Linked DNA regions of Arabidopsis thaliana. The protein of the gene in region 1 interacts with the protein of each later gene in a pairwise test. Each region holds a gene or a part of one and is shown in the gene's direction. Other genes may lie near its edges.

Region 1 (3,711 bases):
AAAGCCTCTTACATATGCAACATCCTCAACGTAAAGAAATTTGTGCTGTTATTGGATGATCTATGGAGCGAAGTAGATTTAGAAAAGATTGGAGTTCCACCTCTAACGCGAGAAAATGGATCCAAAATAGTTTTCACCACTCGTTCTAAAGATGTTTGCAGAGATATGGAAGTTGATGGTGAGATGAAAGTTGATTGTTTGCCACCGGATGAAGCCTGGGAACTGTTCCAAAAGAAAGTTGGACCAATCCCATTACAGAGCCATGAGGATATTCCCACACTTGCAAGAAAAGTAGCAGAAAAATGTTGTGGCTTGCCACTTGCACTCAGTGTCATTGGCAAAGCTATGGCATCTAGAGAGACTGTTCAGGAATGGCAGCATGTGATTCATGTTCTGAACTCGTCTAGCCACGAGTTCCCAAGTATGGAAGAAAAAATTCTTCCTGTTTTGAAGTTCAGTTATGATGATTTAAAAGATGAAAAAGTCAAATTGTGCTTCCTTTATTGTTCCCTGTTTCCGGAAGATTATGAAGTAAGAAAGGAAGAGTTGATAGAATATTGGATGTGTGAAGGATTTATAGATGGGAATGAAGATGAAGATGGAGCTAACAACAAAGGTCATGACATAATTGGCTCGTTAGTTCGTGCACATCTATTGATGGATGGTGAACTAACAACAAAAGTGAAAATGCATGATGTCATACGCGAGATGGCTCTTTGGATAGCGTCGAACTTTGGAAAACAGAAAGAAACACTTTGTGTGAAACCCGGTGTGCAGTTATGCCATATACCAAAGGACATCAATTGGGAAAGTTTGAGAAGGATGTCTTTGATGTGCAATCAGATTGCAAATATATCTTCTAGTTCCAACTCTCCCAACCTCTCAACTCTATTACTCCAGAATAACAAGTTGGTGCATATATCATGTGACTTTTTTAGGTTTATGCCAGCACTCGTGGTCTTGGATCTTTCGAGGAACTCGAGTCTCTCTAGCTTGCCGGAAGCAATTTCTAAGTTAGGTTCCTTGCAATATATCAACTTATCAACAACAGGGATAAAATGGTTGCCAGTTAGTTTTAAGGAGTTGAAGAAATTAATCCATTTGAATCTGGAGTTTACTGATGAACTTGAAAGTATTGTTGGGATAGCTACAAGCCTACCAAACCTGCAAGTGTTGAAATTGTTTTCTTCTCGTGTTTGTATTGATGGCAGTTTAATGGAAGAGTTACTACTCTTGGAGCACTTGAAGGTTTTAACAGCAACTATAAAGGACGCCTTGATTTTGGAAAGTATACAAGGAGTGGACCGATTGGTGAGTAGTATTCAAGCTTTATGTCTCAGAAATATGTCAGCACCGGTTATAATATTGAACACGGTAGCTCTGGGTGGTCTTCAACACCTTGAAATCGTGGGCTCCAAAATCTCAGAGATAAAGATAGATTGGGAAAGAAAAGGAAGAGGGGAGCTTAAATGTACAAGTTCTCCTGGCTTTAAGCACCTCTCTGTTGTTGAAATATTCAATTTGGAAGGTCCAAGGGATTTAACATGGCTGTTGTTTGCTCAAAACCTCAGGCGTCTATCTGTGACGCTGTCATTAACCATAGAAGAGATAATAAACAAGGAGAAAGGAATGAGTATTACCAATGTGCATCCAAATATCGTTGTTCCGTTTGGGAAGCTGGAATTCCTTGAAGTAAGGGGTTTGGATGAGTTAAAGAGAATCTGCTGGAATCCCCCGGCTCTTCCAAACCTGAGACAATTTGATGTACGAAGCTGCCTTAAGCTACCGGAAGCTGCCACTGAGTTTCCGCGACATGCCAATGAATAATGGGAGGACGGTGCTCCGGTGCTAGCTGATGGTTTCTGGCTTATGTACTAGTTTTGGAGAATGAAGCTATCGCAGATCGCAGATGTACTGCTTTTCTATCTCCCTCATTCTTGCTTGATTTGACACTCTCTGTTTGACTATATCCTTTCACTTCTTGATTTGGTTTCTGTTTGTGCACTGCTTTTGTTCCCGATTAACTTGTTTTCAAAGTTTTGAAAGACTATTTCCTTTTTCAGTTTTCACTTGTATTTTGTTTTTGTCTAATAAGTTCAAAAAATTCCAAGTGCGTTATCATTCTCTCTTTACTCTAATCTCTCTGAGTTTATTACTTTAAAAGGTTTCCTAATCTTTGTAACGCGGAAAACCGTTTTTAGCCTTCCAGTAAGAACACTAGATGGAGACGCAATTTCATGGCGGCGATGGAGAAGATCCTTGGCTAGCTCGAGACAAACTATACCATGTAATATTCTGCTTCTCAATCTCTCTTATCTTCTCTACTCTCGCCTCTTTCTCCCGCTACTCCTTTCTACGCCGTCACTCCATCTGGATCGGATCTGCTTTCTCACTCGCCGCCGGTGCGGCTAAAGAAGCTGCCGATCAAATTGGTATCTTCCCTTCCGCAGGTGCTTCCGTTAGAGACGCCGTCGCGGACGCCATTGGAGTTGTGATAGCTGCTTTGGTTCTCCTCCTCTGGAAATCTCGAAGATCACGTACCCGACCCATCCTTCCGATTTGAATCTTCTTTCTTATTGCTGCCGATTCGATTCACAGTAGAAAATATTCCGTTGAAGCTTGTCAGTGTTGTATCCACGGATAATCTCGCAATTTTTATCAAAAGTTTGATCATCACAAAATTTTGGTAATCAGTCTCCTTTGATTTTACTTGTTGAAATGAAAACATGCAACAAACAGTTTATGAGAGTATTGTTGATTCAAGTAAATCAGTTTTGAATAAAACTGTACTCAGATTATTGCTGCTAAAGTATATGATTCATGAAATCTGAAATTTTGAATTAGTTCAGTGTTTAGGCTCAATATCAAATATTCGTTTTCGCCATTTGCTCATTCATTGTGAAGATCAAGGAGAGAAACATTTGGCCTGCTTGAAACATCACATCAAAATTTGAAAACCAACAAAATTGAAAAGATTATGATGTCCAAGACCAAGACCAAAATGAATTTTGGTCAAACATGAGTCAAACATGATTTTTTTTCTTTTTCTTTTTCTTTCATCAATGTGTTTTTAGTCGTTATCTTTAATATTGCTTTTTCCTAACTCTCCTTCTATTGGCGCATTTATTTTTTCTGAATCCTAATTCATTTTTTTTTTGTTCTTAAATTAATTCCAATTTCCAAGTCCTCTTCATCTTTATTGCTTTTTTTATTCCCTAACTCTTGTTTTATTGGCATAGAAATTTTCTTCGGATCCTCCTCACTGTCTCTCTATACTCCACTCTTCATCAAGCGTTGGGTCATCGCCGTCTTCCCTTTCCTTCCCTCTCTAACGTAAGCTCCAGATTTCTTCTATTCTCTGTTTTCTCATTGAAATCCCTAGTAATGATTTTCTCTATTCTCTGGGCATTTCGTGCTTCAATGCCTTTACTCACTTCTTCTTTAAGAAAATATTTTGGATTTCTCTATGTTCCTTATCATGCATGCGACATGCGTGAATCTCTTAGCTGAGTTTTGTAAATGCTGTATCAATTTCGTCTCTTTTGCTTTCTCTAGTTTATTTTTTCCTTAAGTTCTTCCCTAGGGTTTCTCTTGCTCTGAAGATTTCCATACTATCGACTCAGTTTGCTAGAAATTGAGTCTCTTTTGGGCTTTAAACTTTGCTGCATGAACTATCTGATGTGACAGACTCATTTTAACTCTAAAAAGTTT
Region 2 (5,853 bases), on another chromosome or scaffold:
TGAAGGAATGAAGAGGGAGTGGAAGGAGAAATTGGTTGGAGAAGATTACTACAAAGTCCAACACATTCCCGATGTTCAATTTTTCAACTGTGACGACGAACAAAGAGAATAACCAGTAGCAGGTAAAAAATAAACGGTATAATAATGTTCACTTTTCAAAGTCATGTGGACAGTCTCAACTTTTATACATTGTTCTAAAATCGATCATCTTTTAAATAGATGCAGGAAAGAACAAGAAGCTAGTCAAATTCTCTTATATTGGGAGAGATAGAGGCTGCTTCACAAGAGTCATCTACTGATAAATCTCTGGAATACAGATTCTGAAGTACTACTGATTACGTTGGAGCTCTCGCTTTCAGTGCATCGTTATGTTGTGGCTCAGAACTATATGCTTTTTATTGATGTTTGTTTTCGGTGTGGATGCATGGAACGTGCTTGAGAACTCTTTCATAAAATTGAGAAACGAACCTTGTTTTTTTTGTAGTTCATTGTAAAAATTGGATATTTATGTTTATACGAATTTGTTTTGTTTTCTCGTTTGTGATTTAACACAGTTAGCTAGCTTTTGTAAGCTTTATTTACATCAAATCTGGTTAGATTTGTTTTTTATCACATTTAGGCTTAAGTTTTGTTAGTTTTGCACCTCTTTTACTGTGTACGCATAGTGAAGTCATGGTTGAACCAAGACGAGCAAAACTGATGTACAATAAACAAAACAATCTCATTTTGTACAAGTTTTTTGTTTCATTTTAATTTCTTTTATCAGTACTGTGTGATATTTGCACTCGTGACTTAGACTTGGGTCGTTGAGGGATTAGTCGATTTCTTGTTCAGGAACAACATAAGATTGTCAGAACAAAACACCAGTTTTTGTACTTTTGTTTTTAAATCTTGTTTCAACTTCAGACAGACCCCCTTATTCTATGGCTTTAGTATATTTGTTTACTTTTGAACAATGTTCAAAAAAGTGTTAGGCGATAAACGGGCGATGACCCAACGCCTAGCGTTTAGAACGCTTAGTCGGGGTTTAAGTGATTTTAGGTGGTTTATCCGTTTATGACATAAAACATTTTAAATATGATATTATAGATAAAAATCATATAAAACTATATATTAGAAAATATTAATCGGATCCTAATCAAAAATTAGATAAAAATGTTTCTTTAATTTATATCAACAATATATGAATGTTTATAACCATGTGTAGAAGTAAAACTTATAAAATTTAAGCAATATTAGTTAAAAATAAAAAAAATATACTAAAACGAAATTTATGTTATTTTAGGCAGTCGAGATGATTATTTAGGCGTCAACTGAACGCTTAGCGGCATATAAACGACCGTCTAGACCGCTTTTTACAACACTGCTTTTGAATCTTTCAAACTTCATCCAAAAACAAAACTAAAGCTTCTGGAACATGTGAAACCTTGTCAAGAAACTCTAGTTTTGAACTCATAAAACCTAGTTAAGAAGTTTTTTTTTTTTGTCGGCACCTAGTAAAGAAGTTATACCACAGCATTCTTTTTTTACTTTTTTTCTTTAATACAAGATGCAATTAAACAAAATGTTCCTCTAACTATAATAATGTAGAAAAATACGTGTACGCTAGGAAATTTCTCGACCCGCGCAAAAGAGGGTCCTAGAAGTTTCAACTTTCGACACGTGGCTCCTTCTCAGTCTCTCTTATTAAAGTCTTTAAATTATATAATCACCAAAGGCAATTAATGGAATTAATTTACTTTGAGGACTAATATTCCATCTGATTTCCCAAGATAAAACATAAAGTCCTTATTACTTAATTATGAATGTAATTATTGGATTACATGTAATTAATCACCACTTTATAAAACTGAACAAAAATAGTAACGAATATAAAGAGTTTAATAATGATTTTTGGGTCATTTTCCTTCACCAAATTTTTAATTCCGCATAAAGTAAAATATCCTGAAAACAGAAAAATTCAGTGTTTTCGGATTCTCCTTTAAAAACGACAAAAGCATCTACAGAGAAATCTGACCGCAATAATGGCGAATAACGAAGATTCAAACTCCAATGGACTAGACTCGTTTGATGCTGTTAAACAACGTTTCAAAGATCGATCAAAGGTACAACATCAGATTCGATTTTCACCATTTTTGATGTTTCTCTTTTGTTCCAATTTTGTTGATTTTGACTTTGTGGACCAATTGTTTTTGATTTTGACAGAAAGTTGTTCAGACGAGAGAGTTGTTGTCTAAACAAGCGGTACAAACGCGTGAGATCTTATCGAAACAAGCCGTTAAGATCGCTAAACAAGCCGAAGAACATGAGAGATTCATCAATAAGGTTAGGTTTCTCTCTTGATTCTTCAATCATGTTTTGATTTTAAGTTACTTTGGTTTGAAAATGTTTGGTTCTGTAATGTTTTAAAGGTGACACATCTCGTTGGTGTGCTTGGATTTGGAGGTTTTTGTTTCCTACTTGGTGCAAGTGAGTTCAAAGAAATTGTGTTTTTTTTTTGTTTTTTTTGTGTTTTGTTCTTAATTCAATGTTGTTGATGTTGATGATGTTTTCGTTTTCAGGACCTCAAGACATTCCTTTAGTTTACTGTTTCTTCTATGTGATCTTTGTTCCTCTTCGATGGATATATTACCGGTTTAAGAAATGGCATTATTATCTTCTGGTAATGTCTCTTTTGAGGATTTGGAATTAAGAAACAGTCGTTTTGATTGTTATTGAAACAATTTTTGTGTATGTGATAGGACTTTTGCTACTATGCCAATACAATCTTCTTGGTTGATCTTCTTCTGTATCCTAAGAATGAAAAGCTTTTCATGGTTTGCTTTTCCTTTGCTGAGGTATGCTTTTTAACTACATGTATGTATATGAGTCTTTTGTGTCATTGTGTGTGCTGATTTATTTTATTGGTTGTGTCTTGTGCTGCAGGGACCATTGGCGTGGGCGATTATTGTCTGGCGTTGCAGTCTGGTTTTTAGTTCGCCGGATAAGATTGTTAGTGTTCTTATACATCTCTTACCTGGTGAGTTCTATAATCTTCTTGTTGACAGAAGAAGATATGTTATTGATTCATATTGCTAAAGTTGACGGCTTTGATTAAAGTAGTTGTATGAATTCTTAGCTTGTTGTTCCCCTCTCAACCGTTTTTAATTCAAACACATGGTTCCTTGTTGTAATGCATATGATAGATATAGTTAAGCTTTATGCTCTCTCTCTCCATTGTTTCTTTATTATTGTAATGAATTTTGGTTTCAGGGCTCGTGTTTTTCACGATTAGGTGGTGGAATCCAGCGACTTTTGCAGCTATGCACCCTGTAGGCACTGATCGTAGGGTTTCATGGCCTTATGTTGAAGACAAAGCTTACCTATTCACATGGCTGTTTCTCGTCCCCTTAGTCGTTTATACTCTTTGGCAAGTGCTCTATTTTCTAATCGTCAATGTCCTGCGTAGGCAGAGACTCCTTAGAGATCCTGAAGTTATGACTTCTTACAGGTATCTCTTGTCTACGCCGTATGTTAATGTTCTCCTCATATTGATCGCTAAGGTCACAGCATAATGTAATGTGTTCTTACCATAGAGTGAACACTTGTATTGATGGAATCCTTTGGTATGTGCAGAGAGCTGTCGAAGAAAGCTGAAAAGGCAAACAATAAGTTGTGGCAGCTGAGCGGTCTGCTAGGGGATCAGAATCGTATATGGATGTACATCCTATTCCAGGCCATCTTCACGGTGGCAACCATGGCATTGACCGTACCGATCTTCCTATCTTATAGACTTCATGTGATCTTTCAGATCCTAAAGATTTCTGCGGCTGTGTGGAACGGAGGGAGCTTTTTACTAGAGGTAATGCCACGGCAAGTGATCCAGAAAGAGAAGAAGAAGAAAGCTGAGATGCAGCCGATAGAGGAGCAGATACTACATCATGAAGCTGTGTCACATCCGACTGAGAATGAGCCAAAATCTACTGAAACATGATCATGGTTCTAACAAAAAGGTACATGTAAAATAAAGTTTTCAAAGGTGAATCATGATTGGTGTTTTTTTTGTTCCTCATGTTTTGTTCTATAACTGTTTGTTTCTCTTGTTGCTATACATCATTCTAAAAGCTTAATGTATGTGAATGATCTTGTAGTTTATTTTTTCTAAAGAAACTTGTTATTTACTCTTTAGCCAAAGTTTTGATCCTGTTTCGCTAGGACATTCTGGCCTTAAAATTGCATTATGAGAGATTTAACTATATTTTTAACGCGTTTTCGAGAAAGGAAAATCTTCGGATTTCAGCGAAGTAGATTGGGATAAGTTCTCCTTGAGACGCGGATTTTGTTTTCTGTTTCTGCTGTACAAAACAACCATCACTAAAGATCATAACATTCATGTGTTTGATAGTGCATAGTTCTCGAACATGTCGTTACCAGCCGCGGAATAAGCTTAATAAGTATGCCGATAGCATTATGAAATCCATCATGTCCGATACGACTATTGTTCAGTGGAGATGAAGCTTAATAACTTGAGTTCCGCCAAAGAATTCACTCAAAAATCGACCATGAAGAGGATTTTGATCGATGCAAATCGCCCCTGTAACGAGCTGATTTGGAAGAAGACTCAAGAACCACCAATTTGCACCGTACGGTCAAATTGAGTCAAACCAAACCGAAGAGCCCCCTGATGTACTTGAAGACTTTCTGCTGATTATATTCACCCTCATGAAAAGACTACACGACGTTTAGAAGCTGCGACTTTAACTTAGCTCTCGACGCCATCACCGAAGATCCTCCATTATAGCCTAACGGCTAGAATCATCACGCTCCTCTCTTTATTTCGCATTATTCGGTTTCCTTTTCTAAGTTTTAGACCATTGTTGTACTTTTCAATTTAAGCTCTTTGATTCTCTACTTTGTATTCACGCTTTGATCAATTGAAATTCAGTTTGTTTCTTGCTTCAATACTTTGTATCTTGAATCAAATCTGTTCTTGCGAGTTCTAGGTTGTTTGTAGAATCAAATACTTCTCATCTAAAAGCTTCCATCGCTCGCTTCTAAGCATTGGACCCGTGAGCCTTGTCTTGGTGGAATCCAGGACGTGTAGTCGTGTATCACATGAAATGAATGGAATAAGATTTTGATTATATAATCTACAAAGTAGGTCGCATTAAGATACATGCCAAATACCGCACTGAACAGAGAAAGAAAACAGAAAATCAATGTAAATATTGTTGGTGTGTCCTTGACTACAATGTTTTTTGAAAAATTATCTTGATCATGTGTTTTGTCAGGTCCGAGTTGTCCATGATATCAATATTCATGATGGTAATCGATCAACCTTTGAGAGTATAGTAACAACACTTGGCATATTTCTCACTTACGCTAGTCTCATTTTTTGTTCATTCAATGAAAAAACTTAATTTTATGAATAAAATTTCTCGAAATGCGCTTAAGACCTTGACAGTACGACAATCTATATTTACTAAACTGAGAAAAAATTGCCAACGCTGTTAAGGAGGTTGAGGTTGGACATGGGTGGTGGCCGGAACCAGCAAAACTGATCCACTAGCACGGCGAATACAAGACCTTTTTTTTGTGACACTATCAATGGGTTCGAGTTGACTATTCGGTTTCCGTCTCTGAGCCGATTCTAGCGACTTGCTTGATCCGCAATAAATCTCCCAAAATGCTAATTAACATTTTTAGATTCTAATATTTTGTTATAAGCTTTTGAGACTGTACACATGAGATTTTAAACGACCAAAGCTATCTCGCTAATTAACATTATTATAGATTCTAGTTATTTTTTATATTAAGATTTTTGTATAAAGGAAAAAAGTAACATATGAAATAAGAAAATATATGGATTTTGGA

The links. The genes of interacting proteins can lie anywhere in the genome.
Region 2: the proteins of AT1G15900 (region 1) and AT5G35460 interact in a protein complementation assay, tested with the Arabidopsis thaliana proteins (one large-scale study listed by BioGRID).

The regions. Positions count from the first base shown.
Region 1 is NC_003070.9:5,462,135-5,465,845, forward strand, and holds AT1G15900 (uncharacterized protein), read left to right. Parts: upstream 1-2,138; 5' UTR 2,139-2,221; coding exon 2,222-2,563; 3' UTR 2,564-2,813; downstream 2,814-3,711. Other genes in the region: AT1G15890 (Disease resistance protein (CC-NBS-LRR class) family), read left to right, coding at 1-1,827.
Region 2 is NC_003076.8:13,670,574-13,676,426, forward strand, and holds AT5G35460 (uncharacterized protein), read left to right. Parts: upstream 1-1,915; 5' UTR 1,916-2,024; coding exon 2,025-2,105; intron 2,106-2,205; coding exon 2,206-2,325; intron 2,326-2,411; coding exon 2,412-2,469; intron 2,470-2,561; coding exon 2,562-2,662; intron 2,663-2,741; coding exon 2,742-2,837; intron 2,838-2,925; coding exon 2,926-3,019; intron 3,020-3,252; coding exon 3,253-3,490; intron 3,491-3,615; coding exon 3,616-3,973; 3' UTR 3,974-4,930; downstream 4,931-5,853. Other genes in the region: AT5G35450 (Disease resistance protein (CC-NBS-LRR class) family), read left to right, coding at 1-112. UniProt on the Arabidopsis thaliana protein: Glycerophosphocholine acyltransferase (GPCAT) that utilizes acyl-CoA to acylate glycero-3-phosphocholine (GPC), forming lysophosphatidylcholine (LPC).